Linked DNA regions of Caenorhabditis elegans. The protein of the gene in region 4 interacts with the protein of the main gene of each other region in a pairwise test. Each region holds a gene or a part of one and is shown on either strand. Other genes may lie near its edges.

Region 1 (7,574 bases), on a different chromosome or scaffold from region 4:
ACATCTTCAGTACCCCTACAGCACCTGTACAGTACTCCTACAGTACTCCTATAGTACCCCATAGAGTATTAGTATAGTACTATTACAGTAACCCTACAATGCACATGCAGTACTACTAATGCACCCCTACAAAACTCCTACAATACCTCTATAGTACTACTACGGTTCTACAACAGTGCACCTACAGTATCCAAAATCCAGAATCCATAATCCAAAATTAAAAAAAGTGCATAAAAACTCCGTATACCTGTCGTTCTTTCCTCGTCGCTCTCCTCGTCAACAACTCCTTCCGTACTCGTTTCCATCTTCTCATCTGGTTGAGGATGTGGCATGATAACCATTGGTGTTGGGCTATCTGGTACAACTTGCTTATTGGTAGTGGTCATCCAGAACGGCAAGCTTGTCTGTGTTGTCGTGGTTGCAATCTCTTCAGACTCGATGTCCTCCACTTGATCAGTCGTCATTTCCTCTTCCTCCTCCATTGTGGTCGTTGGAGCTTCTGTGGTGAATGTGGTGGTTGGTTGAACAAAGACAGTAGTTGATGGTTGCGTTGAGCTATCAGTGACTTCTTCAGTCATATCTTCGTCTTCGTCGGTCTCTTCCATGTCAGTTGTCGTTGATGGAATTGTCGAAGTAACAAATGCGGTTTCAGTTGTGAATTGTCCGTTTGTGGCGACTTGCATTGTGCTTGGTGTTGGGAAGGTTTCCTCGGTCTCTTCAGTCGTCTCCTCTTCCTCCTCTTCTTCATTCTCATCTGGAACACTTGGTGACACAAACTTGTGCACTGGCTGCTGTGTTCCAGTTGTTGGTGCAAAAGTGGTGGTTTCTGGGGTTTGTGGGAAGATGAACGTGGTTTGGGTTGGTACTTCTGATGGTTGATGTGGCTGCTGACTGCTCCAGGTTGGCTCTCCAGCGGTAATGATGTGCTGGTTGAATGGTGGTGGAAGGGTCGTCGAGCCGATGTCGAGTGGTCGAAGTGGCGCACGGGTTACTGTGAATCCAACTGGAAATTAGAATTGGCTACTCATTTTATAAAAGTAAAACCTAAAACGTACCAAATGGCTCAGAAGGAACTTGATGAGTAGGAGAAACAGTCACAGTTGGCTGTGTGACCATAAGAGTTGTTGAAGTAGCCGTGAAAGTCACTGGTGCACCTGTTATTGAAAATAAAGGTTAGGAGGAAGGATTAAAGGACGATCCGTTATTCAAGTGCAATGCACTGCGGATCTAGGAGTCAGGTACACTGCCTGGTGGTGCTCCCGCTAGGATATAATTTTAGCCACATTCTAGCTGGGGACTGTCGAAAGCGTGACCTCCAGATTGCTAGCGGCCACCACTACCTAGTGAGCTATCCTGCCCCCCCCCCCCCCAGTCAATTTGAATCCCTTTCAAATTATTATTATTACCTGTCGGAAGCTTTGAAATTTCCAAAACTGGGAACGATGGTGTCACATTGTTGATGACAACTTGTTCCGTTGGCTGAACGCTGGTTGCAGATGGTGCGTGAAGTTGCATGCAGTCGACAAATTCTGGAAACAGGATTCGGTCTGTTCTCAGATCATTTTCGTTTCATTAAATTCACACATACGTCCATGAATTGGATGTGGACACAGGCAATCATAAGTGCCGTTGATCAATGTGAGACTGGACATTTTGTCCATGTTGTCATCGAGAACGCATTTCGCCAATGGACCGAACATGGAACAAGCGGCATCTCTGAAAAAGAAACGGAAATTATATGGCTGATTTATATTGTTGTATAGTTTAAGGTTTTTCATGTTTGCTTGAATCACTTTTCCTCAAAAAAAAATTTCCCAGCAGTTAACTAAAGACATTAGAAATTCATTATCGAAAATGAGTGTCTTAACATTAATCCTATTCAAAATCAGTATGGTTAGTGAATTGAAATGACTGTTTTGATAGCTTTTATTTCAACTTAACATAGTAATTTCAATAATTCGAATTATATAATGCTTAGTATTTTCATGTTTCCCTGCATCACCAAATTACCAAATTTCCTCAAAAACTACAAAGAAACCAACAAAACTCCAGTTTTTCTATTCCCCAATTTTAGAATTAGTGATCAACTAGGAACAACAAGGGTGTGTCGCTTCCCACTGTCTACTTTACATTCCACTCCGTTCATCAAATCTTTTTCCATCCTTTTTTTTCTCGAAAAGCGATTATCTGCCTCCCATGCCGTCTCCCCTAATTAATCCGATCATCAAATGAGTTTTTGTCAACTTCCTCCAATCCCGCCGTCCGTTTTCCGTGCCGAAATTTCGGAATAATAATGACCATGATGATAAAGATGATGATGATGATGATGACCGAAACGAAAAACGGTATGACACGATCGGATTGTTGCGCTCAAGAAAAATGAGCAGCGTCTGCCCCCCCCCCCCCCCCCATCGGTAGTTGGGTGAGGATGGAGATGAAGAAAAGTTTTGAAATGAGAGAGCAAATAAGAGTGACCATAGACACAGGGGGGACAGGTCATTGTCGTCGTGTGTATTTATGTATGCTCGGCTTGGGCGCTTACCGTTTTCTCTCCATCCTACCTCTCCGGATTCATCAGGTTGTGTAATCAGCTCTTTTGCAATTGAGAGGAGGAGGAGGAGAAAAACAGAAAGCAGTGCGGGCAACGGCGCTTGCGCTTGTGTCTACTTGGAACTTGCTTCAAAGAAAAAGCTTCAGGATGGATAGGGTGAAACATTATACCGCATAATCGGGAAAGCAGGTCAAAAGGTTCAGTGAGATGAAATTACAAATGTTTATAGGTATTCAATTGTTTTTCTTTTAGATAATGTTTAGCTTTATAATAAAAATTTTATAATATCTTCCAAAATGTAACTCGATTGTTAATTTCAATTAACAAGTACATATAAAATTTTGTAATATTTCAACAACCCATACAAAGTCCACTGCCCTTTTTCGCAAAGTGTCAAGATTAAAGCGCTCACCCTTACGTGCTTCACTCGTCGCCGCCGAGCAGTCGGGCAAAGTTACAGTTGAGCTACACACCTGTCCGTAGTTCTCTAATTCTCCTCATTTGTGCAAAAACCTTTTTGTTGCGCGAGCTTTGAAAGATTTAAGGTGGTCAAAAACAAACATCTCAAGTTGTCACACTGGAGCAACGCGGTGGGGGGGGGGGGGAGGGGGTCAGCTCACGGAATAGTCGCCTTAATGAGTGAAGAGCAAACTCGAGAACGACTTGACAGTCGAGTGTCGTTTTGTTTTATTTTGAAATTCCAAAAGAGTCAATTCATACCCGAGGCACACGTCAAGTACGTTGCAGTTGGCGCCGGTGAAACCCTGACGACACTCGCATTGAGCTTGACCATCTTTGAATACACATTGGCCGTTGGAGCATTCCGGTCTACAAATTGGAGCAACCGATTCGTCGGTGTGGGCCTGAATTATTTGAGTTATCGACTTGTAGAAATGCGATGAAAAAGAAAAGAAAAAAAAATTCAAAAGTCAAGAAAAGAAGAAAAGAGTTGAGAAACAAGATTTAATATAATAGACGTATTACGTCTTAATGTACTACAAGCCACACGTACCGATTCGCAGAGCAGTCCAGTGAATGCAGGCGGGCATTCGCAATAAGCGATTCCATTGTTCGATCGGCATACTCCGCCGTTTTGGCATGGCACCGAAGAGCATACGTCCAACTCGCAACGATCCCCCGTGAAGCCATTACGGCACAAACACGTGGCGGCGCCTTCTTGGGAAACTAGACACGTGCCGTTATTGTGACATTCGTGGTTGGCACATGGCGATGGTGGAAGTGTTGGAGGGTTGGCGCTTCCTAGAACCGAGGGGTCGATTCCCTGAAATAATGTTTGGATAGGATGACATTATGGAAAAATTGAAAACAAACAAAATTAAGTTTATTAGCATTCACGCTAATGTTCCAAGAAGTTTGGTTGAAACTAAGAATTTTTTACACCTCTGGTTTTGTCAGAAGCTTTACGTTAAGTATGTTCATAAATTGTAGAGCCATTGCTAATGTAGTTATACTGTTCGCTAGACAATTTTTATGCAATCCGAAAGTTCATAGCTTTTTGCTCATTTCCAATTACATATACATACACATCTGGTTCATCTTTCTTCACTTTCAAAAGTGAGCATATGAGTTGAATATGCAAATATAAATAATGGGCTCAAATTACTTAGTTCCTTCATCCTTCTTCATCGCCCTACCCATTTTGCACTTTTCTCATAAACTGTGAATCGGAATATAAACAAACCTTGAACAATGGGAACTGAGGTGTGTTGGCGAGCATATCGACATCCTCGTTTTCTGGAAAAAAAAACAATTTGAACTAATTGTGAATCCCAAATAGTGTTTTTCTTTCTTTGTTTCACACTTCACGTCTTGTGTTCGACCCATGCAGGATCATGCATGGAGCCGGAACATGCGAAGTGACCAAAGTGGCTACTCGAGTGCAAAAAGTGAATGTGCGTCCGTTTCACACTTATTTATTTATCAAATAATATGTCCACTTTTTCCTCCCGAAAAACAAACAAAACACGCGCTCAATTTGAAAGTGCTACTTGGGAAATCCTCATCCACAAATAGTTTGAGAATAGAAGGAAAAAAAACAACACATTTTAAAACACTAACCAATCTCCGAATCCTCATTAGCTGCATCCAAGAAGGGGCAGGAACAGTTGAGTGCGTTGGCGGTGAACGAGTTCCTTGAGAGATGTGGTGGGCATCCGGTGGCTTGTTCGGTTTGGACAACAACGTCGCGTAGGCAGGCTGGTCCCGTGACTGAAATTATTTCATTCATATGTTTTCAATGTTGAAATCTTGTATGGATTTTGCCGGATTGTGGGGAGCTGAGAAAGAGCTAAGAACAAAAAACGTCAGGTCGAGTCGTTTTGGAAAGATCCACTTGACGAACAACAAAACATTTTTCAAAGAGGGGGGAGATCCACAAAAACATATTTGTGTGTGTTTTTGTGCTCAATGCAAATATCATGGTATCGGACCGCAAATTTTTCGAAAACGAGAGGCACAGCGCTTCTGAGATTAGTGTCAACATTGACCTTGGCATGTAAGTTGTGTGTGCGAGAGAATGGGAGAATTTGAGAATTTATGAATTTTACAGAAAAAAACCTACTCGATTGGATACGGATCGAAAAAGTGCGTGGATTTTGAGTACGATCAAACTCCACACGTATCGCGGCTCCGTGCTCGAATGTGCAGTCGAGCCCGGAGGCAGTCAGCTCCCAGCTGAACCTTTCCCATCGTTTCGAGAAATTTCCGGTGGCATCTGGAAATTTAGATTTTATCACTGGAAAGAACTGGTTTTATATATAAATTAATTTACCTTGTGGTGCAACACATTGACCTAACGTAACACCTGTTGAGCTGTCAACAACCGAAAGAAGTGTAGTTGGCATTCCGGAGATTGACCTGAAAATAATTATTATGTACTAGAAGCAATAACCTTTGTGCTTTAAGATGTTTCGTTTGTATTTTGATGTGGATGTAGGTTTCAAATTTCATGACTAGGTAGGTTCTACATTTTACGAACGTTTTGCGTAAGGATTACCTTACGCTTCCGGGGGGCAAAGTAACTCGAAATAATTTCCGCGGTCTGCGGCGTGTGTGTGTGTGTGGTCACATTTCAAAAGTGTATAAAGTGTATAAATTGTGTACTCACCTTAAAAACTGATAACCACCGGTCCATGGTAAACTGGATTCGTCGAGTATCCAGACGGCGTTGCCTTGCGACGGGTTCGTGAAATGAAAAACGTCGTCTTCGACTGATTGCGCGCAACAAACTGCCACATAAATACCTGAAAGATTAACATTTTTTAAGTGATTTTTTTTTCGATTTTTTGTTGTTTAAAATCTTACCAAATATTAGCAACACTCGACAAAACGTGGTCATATTGATATGAATATAGGAGAAGTGATAACTGATTGTGGCTGCTTTCGCAACAACTCGATTTGCGTCTTGTTCACCTCCGTTTCTCAGTGGAGTTTTGTCAGTCTGGAAACAGAAAAAATTTAAAAGATTCAATTTGAGTATTTTTTGAGAATAGCGACGACTTCCTCGAAGCGATAGACATAAAACACGTGTGAAGGTTAGCCACCGTTAAGAGAATAGAGATCGGCCACAAAGATGAGAATTGAATTGGGAATGGTAGAATGAAAAAGGAATTGGAAAAGGAAGACATGTTTTTTTTAAATTTATTATGACTACCAAATTCACCTAGTTTACCAATTTTAAATAGGAACCCATTAAAACAGGTATAAAAGCGTAGTGCTGCAAAAGATGAAAGCAATAAGTTTGGTCACACTTTAACACTAATTGACCACACTGTTAACTCATGAACGGTGGAAACAAGGCACTAAGAAAGTAGTCATGAACTGACCACTAAAGTGGAGGCCTAGACTGGTACCGGGAGGTCGCGTAGCAAAAATGAGCGAGAGACAAGGAGTGAGGAGTGAATTGTGAGCTGTCAAAACTGCGTAAAAAACAAACTTGACCATCACCATAACTCCGAGAGAGAGAGAGAGAGAGGAGGTGGGGGGGGCTCCCGGGGGGCGACGGGTAAAACACCTCCCGGTGTGGGGGCCCCCCTGATGTTGTGATCGTCGCGGGCGCGCTCGCACACAGGCGCGACGCGCTGTTCGGTTCGTGCGAGTGCGCACGCGGGAGGAGACGCGGACAGAAGAAGGTTAGGAGGTGGGATCCAAGAGGGACGGAATAGGCGGGCTGGCGGACAAACAGCAAAACTCGGAGCGCGGCCCCGATGAGGCAAGCGAAATCTGATGGTGAGCAAGGGGCACGAGCGGAAGAGTGGAACCAGCAGCAGCAGCAGCAGCAGCGTTCGCCGTCTCCGATTCCCGCAATGAAAATTGATTGTGAAATGAAAAGAGGTGAACGGGAGAAGAGGGGGGAGGTGAAAGTGATACTAAAGCTTATCAGATTAAGCTTCAACTTAATAAGCCATAAGCCGTAAAACGTGTTTTTCTAATTAGGTATACCAGTTGAAAAAATCAAACGATAAGGTTGGGACGTAGGAAAATAAGGAATTTTGAAATATTAAGCTCTTGAATGATTAATGACAACCGCGCGAAAAACCAGACCAATAAAGAGTTAGAATTAATTTTTAAAAACTTATTTCAAGCTGCTATGAAGTTGAGAAATTTTAGAATTACATATCTGTTAGAATCATTTTTAGTCCAGTCCACTTAATGATAACAATTGCAGAACTAAACAAATTTAGACATGCATAACAAATCAAACAAGGCTCCTTGTGAAAGAACAGTAAGTACAGTAGCCTGAACCAGGTCCAACCTCTTCTACCTCCCCAAACGCTACATCTAAATCCTGTGCTGACCTTCATCAGTGTTAGGGGCCACACAGAAATCTAAGCGATCAACCAACTTGCAATAGTTTCTAAACTTCATCAAGCGGAAAAATTGGTTGTATCCAGAGAGATAGAGGGAAGGAGAATAGACCCGTTGGAAAAACCGACAGCGGTTTTCTACAAAATATCAAAATCGCCAGAGCGTGTGTGTACAACAGAACGGAGGACAGATCGAT
Region 2 (3,992 bases), on a different chromosome or scaffold from region 4:
TACTCCACAACAACGCCTAAAAACACCGTGAGTTTTTCTTCACGCCAATTATATTTTGTGTCGTCTGCATTTCGTTTACCCATTTCAGAATCTCCTTGGCTCAACGTATGAGTAAAATGAGCATCAACCACTGACTTGATTTATTCATTTTTCTTCACAATTTGGTTTTCATATTTGGTTCAGTTCCCCTCATTATCCCATCCCATTGTTTAATTGCCTAATTTTTATCTCTCTGCTTGTATATTTTTTCAATGGTTCAAGGTGGTAATATGATCATATTTCCTTTTGAAAAATTAATAGAGTTTACAGAGCGTCGACTACAACAACAGCGAGTCGTAGTGGTTCGAGAACATCTTCCAGAGCTTGTCCGCGTGACGATTCCCGCGACTCCCGTCTCTCTCAAGCCAAAAACAACAGTCGTAATAATTCTCGCTCTCGTATTTTCTGATTTTCAAATTCTGTATACTTCTGTTTTTTTTTAAACTTTTTTGAATACTTTAACATATAAAAATGCACTTTTCCTGTAAAGCTGTTTGTCTCAAAAAATTCATTTAAAACTTAAAAATAAAATCATGGGTACCGATATAATGGGTGAGCACGAACTTGCAAAAATACTTTGGAGAAATGGATTCACGATTTGGAAGCAACGGTATGTTGAAAGAACCGTAATAAATGACTGGTGACTGAGTATTTTGTGAATAAATTATGTTGAAAGTCTAAAGATCGGTATGTGAAGCATGAGATGTAGATTCTTGGGAGACGGAAGTTGTTTCCTGTGTGATTGTGGAAGAAGGCGATTCTGGCTCGATGGGTTTCAGAAGAAAGATCGCGTCAGGAAGGTAGTAAGCAGACTGAAATATTTTGATGTTTGAAAAAATTTTCAAATCAAACTTCCACCCACATTGTTCATATCTCCTTCGCAAAGATACGGCAATCTTGTCCATCTGAGCACCTCAAAATTTGCCGGTTTGAAAACATTGACGATCATATGATGAACATGGTCGGCGTAGGTACGACCAGCAACGTTCAGGTAGTTGTCAGGTCGGGTGCTTCGTCCATTTGGATTGAATTCCACGTAATGGCTGACTGGAAGCACAAGCGACACGATGACATTACAGTTTGAGCGGCGAGCGACGTTCCACAAGTCGTTCAACAGCTTTCCTGGCGAGTAATGGCTGAAATTTGCAGCTTTCATTGAATAATCTGAGTTTCTGTTCACTTACCGATCGAGGAGGTTGAAAGCGGTGACCAAATCAAATTTAACATCAGTTTCAGCCCACTCGAGTGCACTGAGAACATTGTATCCCTTCCAGCTGAGCCGGTTTCTCATCTTCTGCAAAAAAACTTTGTTTGTAGTAATCTTGCAGGAGGAGTAACGTTTCCGTTTTTGCAAAAAAATTTAAATTTCATAGTGGGAATTTCAAAACAGCCGGCTTGGCGTTTTTCAAATATTTGGATACATTCGTTGTCCTAGGTAATTCAAACTGGGATAACTGCTTGACATTAAGCCAAAAACGCAGAAAAGAAACGCAGAAAACGTTTTCAAAGCATTATGTCATCATAAAATGTTTTACAGTATTCAAAGCCTTTTTTTTTAATTTCAAGTTCTTACCGATGACAACTCTGTAGCATAAACATGCTCAAAGAATGGGCGCATGTGCTCTGTAATGTCTCCGTTGCCAGCTCCAAGATCGAGCACCTGAAATATATAATTGCGGGTTGGTGAAACAATTTCCCATAAATACCTTTTTGTCGGTAGAATTCCAAGATTCTTTCTCGATTGCGAGAAACTTGGCGAACTGATTTTCACTGAAAAGGAACATGTTTCCGAATCCGGTCATTCCATTGATATCAGTTTTCGAATAGATTGTCGACAAAATCATGACCCCAAGGTTGCGAACCGTCTGCCAAAAGAAATTGCTGGCAATTTTATTGGAGTTGTCAAGAAACTGCTGCGTTTCCCCATCTGGCAACGATGCGGCGAACAAGTTTTGTGCAACATCTGAGAGACTTGTCTGAAATTATTAATTTTCAAATTTTCAAAAAATTATCTGAATTAAAAAGAACAAACCTCTGGCTGATACCAATGCTGGGCTCTCAAGCCGTACGTCCGCTCCAGTTGAAATGACATTTTGGCAGTGAAAATCGATAACAATAAGAGGAAGAGAGGTGGTGTGTGGCGAAGACGGTTTGAATGGGGGAACGCTTTGCACTGTTGGCCCGGTGTGTGCAAACGCGCTCGATTCACAATAAGGAAAAAGATGGCGGGTTTGCCGCAGCGGGAACAGTGTGTTGAGAAATTAACTTACAGGTCTGAGTTGATGAGCGAGAAAATTGTTTTCGTCGTATCGAAATGAAGAAAAAAGTAGAATTTAACTAGTTTAAAGCCTGTTTTTAATAGCCACATTGCACTGTCCAAATGCAAAACATACCGTGCCAATTAATATATTTGAAATAAACACCGAATGGGACCCATCAATATGTGAAAAAGAGCCGTTGAAGGACAGAAAAAAGATGTATCAATGTTATCGATGACAAGTTTGAGATTTTCCACCACAACATCGTTGTGCCAAAATCGGGAGAAAGCTACTTGGAAACATTTTTAAAAAATCAGAAAAAAACAATATATTATATTTCCCTCCAAATTGTCTAGTTGTTCCACTATCAGTTTTGAAACCCACACTTTAACTTTTTGAAATCTTTCCAAAAAAAAACCATTTGTAATACCTTTCCACTTCTTCGCCACGTATTTGTCAGATGTAAAGCCATAATTTTTCACTGCAAAACTACAAGTGTGCACAAGTCCATGCAGAACTTGAAATGTATCCCAAATAGTCATTCCCGTAAGCTTCAATCATTTACGTCAAAGAGCCGGTTTTCTCATTTTTCTTCTCATTTGTAATTATGACTCTGAAGCCAATAATTTAGATATTTTTCCCGCTTCTCTGATTCGTGTTTAAGAGATGTTATTTTCAAAACTAAAATCATTATTATTCCCAACTCCTTATACGTGTTCATCAGTTATGCATAGAATATAGAATATCTGAGATCTTATGGGTTGAATCTCCTGAGAATTGAACGATAAAGTCACACCTCTACACTTTTGTTAAAGATTACCATTGTTATTGACTTTGAGTTTTCTTCTTTTCTCCTTTCTGATTCACTCCGGCTCAATCAACTTTTGGGAAGAATGCCCACGTTTCCCGAATTGGTTATGTCTGTTCACAATGACAGTAGATACCTGAACTACGAATTCAAAATGAATACAGTGTCTTGGTGTGTTCTAGGCCTGTCAGCATGCGTATTTCTCGGACTTATCTGTTTTATCAGAATGGCAATAATTTATTGTTCCCAACCTTCCATGGCTACCAAAGCTATCCATCCGCACGTATTTAAATCTATGGTTATTATGCAGTTGTCGGTAAGCTGGTTATATTTTTTCTTTGTTATCTGTTTTTTTTTTCAGCATTATATTTTCTTCATAACTGATAATTTGGCATTCCGCGTGCCTTCTACCGGATTTGTTACAGCTAGCTGTGCTGCCATGGAGCCTAATCACTACTTAAAAATTATTTACCTGTCACAAATGTGGGGAACCTATTGGTCAATGTTTTCCTCACTATTGTTTTCTATCATTCGAATGATTGTCTATGTAACTCCAACCAGACATGCAGAGGTAACAATTATCTAATTAGCCACACTGGCTCGTTTTGTAGAATTGCCGCGCACCCATGCTTGCACTCCCTTTCGCTCAAAAGCAACCATGATATGAGCCTTTGAAGTAGAGGGATACATGCGCAAATCTAATAGTGAAAATACCGTCAACATTATTAATAACGCCTTATTTTCAGTGGTCGTCTTACGTTTTTTACACATTCATTCCGTTGGCTTTCTTCTCACCATTTGGAATTACGTACTTTATGTATCCAGCAAAAGGCTATTGTAGACAATGGGGATCTCCTTTGGGCTTCGGGTCTGTCTTCATCTCCTAC
Region 3 (6,594 bases), on a different chromosome or scaffold from region 4:
AATTTTTTAGGTTAAAATACATTTAAACTTCAAATTAATTCGTTTCAATTTCAGCAATACCAATCTGCGATTCTCTACGTAAATGACGACCAAAAGAAAGTCGCTGAAGAAACTTTGAAAGTAGCAAAGGACAAGCATGGAGACATTGAAACATATATTGAGCCATTGGACAAGTTCTATCAAGCTGAAGATTACCATCAAAAATATTGGTTCCGTCAAAAGAAGATTCTTTTCGATGAACTGTCTCTTCTTGATACTCAAGTTGCTGAAGGAGAACTTGCCACAAAATTGAACGCATATTGTGCTGGCTTCCAGGACTTCCACGATCTTGAGCGTCTTGCAAAAGAGTACGGATTAAAGGATTCTTTTGTCAATAAGGTGAAGGACTATGCTCTGTCAGGAGGAGATCCAAGAAACTGTCATGCTTAAATTATATGAATGTACAATCGAACTTTTATCAGGTTTTCAATGAATTTTATTTTATCACAGATTCTTGTGTTTGTTTGTTTAACAAAGGAAGATATTTGAATATTATACTGCACTTTCAGATTGGTATTTAGATTCCAACTTTGTGCGAATATTGTTGCATATCATATTAAATGGATTTGAAGAGTTGTTGTCATCATAAAGCACATTGCTCAAAATTGCGTAGGCTGTAACTTGAACATATATGAAACGTTGAATAATTCTGAAAATCTCACCATTATTACCATACAAGGCTTTGAGCCCAATTTCACTGTTAGCTAAAGTACCAATACATACAGCAGCTTTGTACCGTATCCTTCTACAGTAATCCGCATGGATTGGATGGGTAAGGGATAAAAATTCAAGAAGCACTGGAATTGCATTTTGATCAACCATTTGATGATCTAAATGACGGGCGGCAAGGCGAGAAAAGGCTGTAACAATTTGTTCCTGGACGAAGACAGTGGCACAATTTTCTCGATTATAAGCAGATATCAGACGACGAATTGAATTATTTCTGAAAATATTTACATTTACATGTTGCAAAAAACTTTTCAAAATCCCAAAATAGAGAGCGATCCTATAAATTTTCAGATTTTTTTTTAAATTCGAGACTGTTTTCAGTTTTATCTGGTAGGCTGGTTTACCGTTTTGTAGTTTCTAGGTAACTTGTAGCAATTGCTACAAAAGTTAGAACAAGGAATTCGCCTTGAAATTTTGCATTCATTTTCTACAATTACGTGCTATAGCTCAATTTAATGTTGGTTCAAATTTAATTTTGTACTGAGCTTTTGCGAAAATAGTTAAATGCTTAAAATTCAACAAACCTGTACATAATATCAACTCCATTTGGGTTCTGAAGTGTCACATTGTTCAATGCAGCGGTTGCCAAAAGCAAAGAGTCACCTGATTTACATTGATCTATTAGATCTGAAATTAATTATTTAGTCTCCAATTTTTATATTTAAATTGGTTACCCAAAAGTCTGGATATAATTGGTTCCACATGATTTAACCGAATGAATGCAGACTGAGGATTGGTAAGTTGTGTCAGAATACCAGCTGCCTCGACGGAACAGATTGATGAGGAAATGGATAAAAGTCTATCAATAACCAAATCCAAGCCTCCTTGCTGAAATTAATCAATTTGTATTGATTGAATTTGTATTGAATTTGTATTGAAAAGTATTGATTATAAAATATATCTAATTACCGTGAGCAAAGCAAGTGCTCCTTTTGAAACTCCACATAACACTGCCAATGTTCGAAGTAAAAATCTAAGAGTGTTCTCCTGTGGTTGATCATTCTTCATAATTCGAATAACTGATGAGATGCATCCTTTTTGAATTGCTTCAATACAAAGTTCATCTCCAAATAAACAAATATGAATAAGATGCTCTAAACAAATAGGTGTCAGACGATCTTTTCCATTACTTTCACATAGATTCTTGGATATTATCTGAAATTAAATATTTGAATGAATTGAATAGTTAAACTAAAAGTAACTTACCCTCACAAACACCAAAAGTACTGATTCTATAGACTTTCTGAGAAGAATCGCAAAAAAGTTTGTCATATTATTCATGTCAATTATTCCTTTATCTCGATTTCTGGAAAAACGTAAGGTAACATTTAATTTGTTTCAATAATAGATTTACTTTTGTAACTCTTGAACATTCATTTTTAATCGAGCCATTTCAGTCTTTGGAAGATAATTTGTACATGGAGATGATTCAAGCAGTTGGATGAACACAGAAGACTTAAATATTAACTTTTGTAACTTAATTCAGTATGCACAAAATACCTTTGCCAACAAATCTCTGCAAGTTGCTGGATCCAGAGCTGAAGAAAGAAGAGTATACAAAGCAGATGATGTTCTGAGAACATGATCCATTGTACCTGAATTTTCTCTTTAAAAATTCAATTTCCAAATAATGACTACTGACTAGCCATTCTCGCATAGCTTGGCATCCCTGTATCATCATCATCTTTACTTTCTTGTCGAGTTGAACAATTTGATCTTCGTTCGATTTGATCTCCGGAACATTGTCCAGAGTCGACACTTGTGATGCTATCCGAACGAGTACTGTATGGAGATCGGAGAATTGTATTTGCGCTGTCAGTGCTCATGTCTATTCTGTAATTGCAAAATTATTTTATCTTTAATGTTAAAAATAATTATTTAGTACCTGTTCATTGCCTGTTGAACATGTGCTCCATTAACAGTTATTGTGTTTGCTCTTGAAGAAGTTGGAACTGGTGGGGCCGGAGACAAAATTCCATTTCTTTGTGGTTGCACACTAGCTGAAAAAATTCAATTTTTCCAGCAAAAGATAACGAAATAAAAATTACTCACATTTCATAGAATTCCGTCGCAAAACCTGAAACTGTTCATACGACGGAGGCGCTGTTTTAGGAGTTGGTGTTCGACAACCAGATGGAGAGTTGCTCTTTTGGCTCAGAGCTCGTGAAATGTTTCCTCGGAAGCCGGGCAACTTGATCTGAATGGTTCAACATGTGTTGCCAATCAACGAAGCAATTAAGATAAAATTTAAGGGGTGGTGAAGGGATAGAAAACGAGAAAAAACGAAGGAATAAAAGAAAGTGAACTCACATTTCGAATTATTGCATCCTCGGTGTCCGTTGGGCAAGACTCTATAAAAACTCGAGTTTGAGAAACAGGACGGAAATGTTCAAAACTTGAAAGCATTTTTATGCCGCAAGTTTTCCCAGTGCTCTAGGGAAAGTTTAAGGAAAAGAGAGTTCATAAAATTTATGTTGGGAGTCAACTTTTTGTTTCTTGATTCCTTTTTTTAAGTTGCATTGTTTTCTATCTAGTCCAGATGAATTCAAGAAAAAATCGTTAAAATTGTATTGCGCAAAAATTGAAAAAATGATACTGCCTAAAATCCAGAATAATTTCATTTTTGCAAGGTATCAAGTTTCTTTCTTTCTGAAAAATTTAAGGGCATTTGACGTGTTTTAGCTCTCTCACTATCGTTATCAACTTTTAAATTCTCCACAAAATATTTACCAGCATGAACGGACGAGCACAAAGTAGTGCTACTTGAGTTATACTTGTCACTCAGACTGTTGTTCATCATCTCAGCGATAGAATTCCTTTCCAACAATTGAGGAAGACTTGCTGAAAGTTGTAACATTTATAAAGTAATTTTCATTTTGTTACTACCTGCACAATCATTTGCTCCACTTCGTAGCCTTGCTATCCTCCTTTGAGGTTTTGGAGGAGCTGATATATTGCCCAATGAAGTTGATAACATTGATTTGCTGAAAATAAAATAACAATTAATTTATATATTTTAAAATTTTGATGATTTGAATTACCGAAGAACCATTGATTTGAAAGTAATCAATAATACTACAAATGAATGAAATAATGAATTTATTCTTAATGCGGATCAAATTGCAAACTATCTCTTTCCCATTCCGCGCGGTAAATATCTTTTCGCACCAATAGCTACTGTTTGCTTTTTTGATTTGACTTTTGGAGTTGGAAGCTTGAAAGAAAATGTGGATAAAATAACTTATTTCTCAAACTTCTGTATATAAGAACTTTATACGAGACGAGAGATATTGATAGAAAGTAACAAAGAATCTCGGAAAGAGACATGCTCAACAACTTGAGAAAAGTCATTAATTATTTGAAGATGGCGGCCAAGATGACACCTGTTCGCATCCAATTTCTTGGCGGAACACAACAAAAATTAATTACAAAATTTTTGCTAAAATATTTCATTAAAGTAAAGAAGAAGAAGCTTGTAAAGCGAAAAAGAAGAGCAAAATGATTTGAATGACCGCAACTAGTCGGGTAACCCGACTCCCTGTGCATTGAACAACAAACAACCACTTTACCTGTAGCCGACCGAGATTTTCTTGGCTCCATAATATTCTTCATCGGGTAATTGTACGATAGATTCCGGAGTTGGAAGCAATGGTTTTGCATATAAAATTGTTTGGAGCTCGTCGTCTCGGGCATTTGCCAAACTTGAGAGCCATTGCTGATGAAACCGGGTTACAGTAGACTGAAATTAATTTTTATTAATAAACAGTTTTCATCTGATTTCTGATTTTTGCAATGTTTCAAGCTCATCAAAAATATTTCCAAGAGATTGCTTCTTTGTATCAGTTAACAATAATTTTTTGAAAGCATTTTTCAAGTAAAGCCTAAAGTTTAGAAGGGTCTCTTTTTTTTATTTCTTTCTATTATAAATTTTAATAACAATAAATTGAGACCTTTGGAGGTTGTGGAACTATATCGAATAAATTCTCGTTTTCCAGGGAATCCCAGAATCGGGCCAATCGGGCCATGTTTATATGAGCATTTAGCTGAAAAAAGTAAAAATTGAAAAGAAAGAATGAAAAGTGAAAGAAACGAGCAGTTCTAATTATTAGTTGTCACTTTCACTAGGACGCTCCAAGTATATTCATAATTTTATAAAGATATTGTTGTAAGAAGTGTGTCTCTTCTTGTCAATGCGCGATAATATCCAAGTGGGAAGCCCATCGGGACCTTGTGAATATTGTATGAAATAGAGAGACACAGAGAAAAGTGAAGGTGATAAATGATGAGTTTCTCAAAACAAACATAGACTTCTCTATTCGGGATCAGTTCATGCGCGCGGCAAGTGAGAAGAGATGAATCGACGTGGGACGCGGGAGGCAGGCGGAAGTAAGATTGAACGAAAAAAAACGAAATGTCAAAAAATTTGTGGAGCAAATATGCCAATTGGGTTCCGGTCTAGTTGAATGCATTGGACATGTTTTGAGGGAATGCAAATCAGCTGGTGAGTTACAAAGCAGGCGGAAGGGTAGAGGTCACAATATCTCAGAAATAGAGAGAAAGAGAGCAAGATGAGCACCCACAGGAGCAATTTGTGTACTACATAATATGATAAGATGTGCAGACTTTAATTTTAATTTATAAAAAATCTTGAATATATTATAAGTATCAGAACATTTAAAAACAGAAAAAAATTTTAGAGTTAAAATGAAAATTAATGTCATATCGTCTTTGGAAGACTAATAAAAATGTATATTTACGCAAATATTATAAGCTATAGATGGTGTTCAAATCACACGTTTTGGCATTTTTTGGCAATTTACCAAAAGTGTGTCTAAACATTTTTTTTCCAACAAAATACCAACTGGTGATTTAATCATGCCACAAAGCTGAATTTCTACACTTTTCAATAAACTTTTTCAGTTGAATATATAGATTTAAATTTACTAGAGCTTCAGGTATGATTTGATAAACGCGCCTACCTCAGACCTAAACTCCGGAGTTTGGTCAAATTTTAAAAAAATCTGTGATTTTCAAGTTTAACAAAGTTTAAAAAAGTTTGAAGTTTTAATTTAAAAGTTTAAATTATGTTTAAGTTTAGGCAGAAGCTTCTAGAAGTGAAATCTAATTTTTTTGTATATTTTGAAGAGACTCTTCAAATAAATTTCTATAAGCGAAAAATGCTCATTCTACATGATATATACCCCCAGGTAACCTAATTACACTAAAACACAATTGTTCCTAGAAGAAACTAAAGGTTATTGCTAATAAGTTTTTGTCTACTGTTCCTGCAAAGATAATTAACTTTTTTTATGATGAGTGCCTCCACTGAACAGCTAGAATTTCGTTTTGTTCTAACAATAAGTTTAAACAACACGTATTTTTCTGACTACTGTAGAATTCTCTAAAACCTATTAAAATTTAAAGGGCAATAAACGGTGTGATTTGGGAGAATAACACCTATCTCGTGGGTTCATAGAGGATATAAATCAGCCAAAAAACCCGCTGTGATTCTCCGCTTCTTGATGATAAAAAAGATAAATGAGTGTCTCTTTTCCTTCTGGCTCCGCATCAAAACGTCACAAAACAGTGGGGTTGATGAGTGACATATGGTTGATTTCCAAGTGGATTTTTGCGCCCACCACCACCAATTGTTCATCAAATAGGGATTGTCTGGAATATTTTTAGAATGCGGAAACCTTTTTTCCGAAAACCTTTCCCCAAAAAGCATTAGAATAATATGAAAATTACAAAAGGATTTATTTACAAAAGAACATTGTATCAATTATCTTTGGAAAAATATCAAGATTATATTTCAGGCTTCACTTG
Region 4 (3,974 bases):
TCATTCCAGCAATCCTTATTCCTTCCGTGTTGGATAACGACCTGTCCCCAGGCGTTTCTATGGCTTTTTCCTCCCATTTTGATCGTTGAAACAGAGATGTTTGCTTTTTTAGAATTAAATTTATGCAACTTTTTAGACTGTGCACTTAAATAGAAGATCTAGAAATAATTAAACGAATTTTAAATGCATAGTCGCAGTAGTAATAGTAAATTGACTAAAGAAAATCATTTTTTAATTTTTAAACAATTTTTAATGAAAGTTTATCTCTGAATCTTTTGAATATCCCTTGTGTAAATTTGTACTTGACCAATTGTTCCAAATTTGTAAATATCAGTTTTTGCAGAAGCAACTACTTTTCGTTGAAAAAATTCACTTTTAAAATAGTGAGACTAGGTGAAAATGTTGTGAATTTTGGCATTTATAGCTACCACGATCGTGGCGAGACCCACTCAGATTAACAGCGTGTGCCTTTAAGTGACTTTTGACTTTTTCCCTAAATTACGATATTAAAAAACTTCCCATGCTTTTTTTTTCATTTTTTAAAATCAAAATTTGCCACAATAGTAGGATTGGAATTTATTCCATGTTTGAGGCTTCTCTAAAAACAAATTTCTAAATAATTTAGAGTTTTGTTTTAATCTTTTCTTTCTCCTATTTCACTTCTTAAATCTCATTTTCTTATCTTGGCAAAGTAACCTAATAGTCAAATCGATTGGCTTGTTGATCTTCACCATAATTTGACCCAAATCAGCTCGCCGCGTCGGTTTTTTTTAATTGACCGATTAGTCGCTATCACAGACGCTATTCATTAATAAACGTCAGCAGGAAGACCTAGTAATCTAGTTATCCACTTCACAACTCGATCAATAATTGCGGATCGGCGTGTTTCAACGAATACGGGAAGACAAGAGAGAGATAAGTTGTTTTTAGTGTGTGTGTATGGGTGAGTGTACGACAGTACCTACATACTGGAGGGGGAATATCCTTGACCCTTTGAGCGCGGACGATGCGACTTCCACCTTCTTTTTAATACATGCTCTGGATACAAGATATCTACCCATTTTTGTTTCTTTTTCTTTGTAGAAATTAATTATTGATCTGTAACTGTGAGGGCAGCAAAAATATTATAAGCCGATTATTTTTTCGCAATTCCAAAATGGACAATATGACTTGCATAATTTGATTACTGAAAAAAAGTGGGCCTTTATAATTTCGACATGAGCATTAACGCTCATATTTTCTGTTAGACAAACAATCTGTGGGTATTTGGTATTTGCAAATAAATATATTTGCATTGGCATTACAGAATCATACTATTTCCCCGCTATTCTGCAAGTTGTGTACAGGCTCAGTTGGTCTACTCTTGATGTTTTGATAGTTGTCTCTTTTTGGTTTTTTTCCTGTAGAAGATGGCTAGTAATACGTGGCTTAAGAACAAGATGAAACCGGTAGCCTTCTTTTTTCTCTTTTCGAACTGCAAAACGAACTGCGGCGACGGCGATAATGTGTGTGCGTGTCTGCCGACCGTACACCCCGCCGCCGAGATATATCCCTTCACTCCGACCGACGTCTTCCTCTTGTGTCTTCTCTTCACACCATAGGCGCTGCTTTTCGTTTTCAATCTTCCGCTTTCTATGTTTCTCTACATTCCTTCAATTCTTCATCATCCTTCCTGGTCACTCTATGACATCTATAAAACAAGTCAATTCCAGAATGCTGCTCCGATTGCTCGCCGTGCTCGGACTTTTCGCCGTTGGAGTCTCGGGGGGACCTACCAGATCTTCCAAGCTCGTCTTTCTCAATGAGGAAAACTGGACAGATCTTATGAAGGGAGAGTGGATGATTGAATTGTAAGTTGTTTCATTGAAAGCTCCAATTTGGAACAATGTATATAGTTTGTACTTGGTAGAATTAACTACTAAGGTTCTCAAGCATACACTTTAAAAACATTTTAATTAGTTACAAAACTACAAAATTGATAACTGATAAATTTTTAAAAATCCGCCGAGATGAAAATCTCAATTAAATTCCATCTTACTAGTACCTATGATATGAAAAGATATAGAGTAGAATCTTTTCATAATTTGAATTCACTGTTGGTTATTAGAATCTTTCTAAATAGCTATAGAAGAGTTAGGTCTAGATCATTTGAAAAAAATAACTTTTAAAATTCCAGCCATGCTCCATGGTGCCCAGCTTGCAAGGATCTTCAAAAAGCATGGAACGCATTCGCCGACTGGTCTGATGATCTTGGAATCAAGGTTGGAGAAGTCGATGTTACCGTCAATCCAGGACTTTCCGGTAGATTCCTTGTCACAGCTCTCCCAACAATTTATCAGTGAGTTTTTGAAAGCTATTTATTTCTACAAAAATCGAACGTTTTTTTTTTCAGCGTCAAGGATGGTGTCTTCCGTCAATATTCTGGAGCTCGTGACAAGAATGACTTCATTTCATTCGTCGAGGATAAGAAATACCGTGTGATCGACCCAGTTCCAGACTACAAGCATCCAAACTCTAAGCAGTACGCTTTTTTGTGGCACAGCAAAAATAATATTATAATTTTTTTCAGAATGGCCGTCGTTGCCGTCTTCTTCAAACTTTCGATGTCGGTTCGTGACTTGCACAACCATCTCGTCGAAGATAAGGGAATCCCATCATGGGCCAGCTACGGACTCTTCGCCGGAGTTACTCTTGCTCTCGGATGTGTTCTTGGATTCGTGAGTTTTTTAAATAGAAATTTCTGTAAACATCGTGATTTCCAGTTCATCGTTATCATCATCGACCAAGTATTCCCTACTGGACCAAGAAAAAGCCAACAAGCCAAGAAAACCGAGAAGAAAGACGCAAAGAAAGGTACTTTAAAATATTCGGATTCTGATTTCTAAAAATTTATTTATTTTCAGATTCTGGAACTGAATCTCCGACAAAGAAAAATGGAAATAACAATAATGGCAAAGAAACGAAGAAGACCAAGTAAATTCTATGCAACTTCCAAAAACCCCAATTGTTTTACCTTTTGTGCATCTTGTTATTTTATTTCAAATTATAATTTAAAAACTTCAAAATGTTTCATATTTATCCCAAACCAGCAGTCTCTGCCCCAAGTTTTTGAATTTTAAAAAATTTGTTAATTATAAGTATTGCCGTCCCCCAAGATATATATAAGTCACTTCTTCCTATGGGTTCCCGTCTTTTTTGTCTCTTTTGTTTTCACCAATGCTTCTCTCCTTCTGCGCATTTCATTTCGGACTCTGCAACGACGACACGTAATTAAAGCGACATCTCTTGCTGCGAGAGCCAGTCGGTGCTGGTCGAGTGTGTGTTCGCTTTGGCGTCGTCACGCCTTCTTTCCCTGCTGCTTTTCGCTCCTCATTCAATGCATTGATCCGTTTGTCCGTTTTTTTGTCCTCTGCTTTCTCTCAAATATTTCACTTTTTACGAAAAAAGTTGTTAATAAATCATAATTCAATTAAAACCTTTTTTGATAATTCAGAAATATATTAGCGCATTGGGTATTCACAATATTATGCTATTGATTGGCTTTTTTGAGCAGACCCGTAAACAACTATTGTTCGAGAAAAATTCTTTGCATTTATTTTTCATAGGAAGATTTTCATAAACAGATTTTATTACTGAATATTTTCTTCAGAACCAAAAAAACTGTCTAAATATGGCCGCTCCATGGACTCCGCTCGAATCGAATCCAAGTGTCATCAATCCGGTTCGTTGTCTCGGTGGCGTCGTCGCCAGTACACGCACACAATCTAATTTAATTCTTCCTCCGTTTTTAGATGATCGAAAAAATGGGAGTGAGTGGCGTGAAGACTGTCGATGTGTTGTTCTTTGATGACGAGTCAATCGGAAAACCTCAGCACGCAGTTATCCTATGCTTCCCGGAATACAAAAAGGTATTTTTTGTGACAAAATTTGAGATATTACGAGCATGACAAAGAAAATTTAGGTTGACGAGATTA

The links.
Region 1: the proteins of dpy-11 (region 4) and eat-20 interact in a two-hybrid assay, tested with the Caenorhabditis elegans proteins (one large-scale study listed by BioGRID).
Region 2: the proteins of dpy-11 (region 4) and metl-9 interact in a two-hybrid assay, tested with the Caenorhabditis elegans proteins (one large-scale study listed by BioGRID).
Region 3: the proteins of dpy-11 (region 4) and insc-1 interact in a two-hybrid assay, tested with the Caenorhabditis elegans proteins (one large-scale study listed by BioGRID).

Annotation. Positions count from the first base shown.
Region 1 is NC_003284.9:15,515,092-15,522,665, reverse strand, and holds the start of eat-20 (Abnormal pharyngeal pumping eat-20), read right to left. Parts: upstream 6,014-7,574; 5' UTR 5,910-6,013; coding exon 5,876-5,909; intron 5,815-5,875; coding exon 5,679-5,814; intron 5,429-5,678; coding exon 5,343-5,428; intron 5,286-5,342; coding exon 5,133-5,285; intron 4,781-5,132; coding exon 4,631-4,780; intron 4,448-4,630; exon of another isoform or gene 4,320-4,447; intron 4,307-4,319; coding exon 4,254-4,306; intron 3,834-4,253; coding exon 3,564-3,833; intron 3,415-3,563; coding exon 3,272-3,414; intron 3,228-3,271; exon of another isoform or gene 3,099-3,227; intron 2,704-3,098; exon of another isoform or gene 2,583-2,703; intron 1,717-2,582; coding exon 1,589-1,716; exon of another isoform or gene 1,583-1,588; intron 1,530-1,582; coding exon 1,407-1,529; intron 1,155-1,406; coding exon 1,056-1,154; intron 1,004-1,055; coding exon 248-1,003; intron 1-247. UniProt on the Caenorhabditis elegans protein: Regulates pharyngeal pumping during feeding.
Region 2 is NC_003284.9:5,176,984-5,180,975, forward strand, and holds metl-9 (DREV methyltransferase), read right to left. Parts: upstream 2,168-3,992; 5' UTR 2,132-2,167; coding exon 2,072-2,131; intron 2,016-2,071; coding exon 1,746-2,015; intron 1,700-1,745; coding exon 1,613-1,699; intron 1,334-1,612; coding exon 1,224-1,333; intron 1,176-1,223; coding exon 902-1,175; intron 852-901; coding exon 717-851; 3' UTR 536-716; downstream 1-535. Other genes in the region: Zinc finger C2HC domain-containing protein zchc-1A, read left to right, coding at 1-27, 310-448; sru-48 (Serpentine Receptor, class T), read left to right, coding at 3,191-3,421, 3,467-3,676, 3,852-3,992.
Region 3 is NC_003280.10:7,357,112-7,363,705, reverse strand, and holds insc-1 (Protein inscuteable homologue C-terminal domain-containing protein), read right to left. Parts: upstream 4,794-6,594; coding exon 4,719-4,793; intron 4,508-4,718; coding exon 4,338-4,507; intron 3,753-4,337; coding exon 3,655-3,752; intron 3,610-3,654; coding exon 3,499-3,609; intron 3,120-3,498; coding exon 3,079-3,119; intron 2,966-3,078; coding exon 2,821-2,965; intron 2,769-2,820; coding exon 2,654-2,768; intron 2,602-2,653; coding exon 2,411-2,601; intron 2,364-2,410; coding exon 2,269-2,363; intron 2,224-2,268; coding exon 2,123-2,223; intron 2,075-2,122; coding exon 1,975-2,074; intron 1,924-1,974; coding exon 1,678-1,923; intron 1,597-1,677; coding exon 1,443-1,596; intron 1,396-1,442; coding exon 1,293-1,395; intron 983-1,292; coding exon 702-982; intron 654-701; coding exon 532-653; downstream 1-531. Other genes in the region: msra-1 (peptide-methionine (S)-S-oxide reductase), read left to right, coding at 55-429.
Region 4 is NC_003283.11:6,511,085-6,515,058, reverse strand, and holds dpy-11 (Thioredoxin-related transmembrane protein 1), read left to right. Parts: upstream 1-1,712; 5' UTR 1,713-1,713; coding exon 1,714-1,850; intron 1,851-2,176; coding exon 2,177-2,338; intron 2,339-2,392; coding exon 2,393-2,521; intron 2,522-2,569; coding exon 2,570-2,717; intron 2,718-2,762; coding exon 2,763-2,853; intron 2,854-2,903; coding exon 2,904-2,977; 3' UTR 2,978-3,474; downstream 3,475-3,974. Other genes in the region: ubh-1 (Ubiquitin carboxyl-terminal hydrolase), read left to right, coding at 3,671-3,721, 3,792-3,908, 3,962-3,974.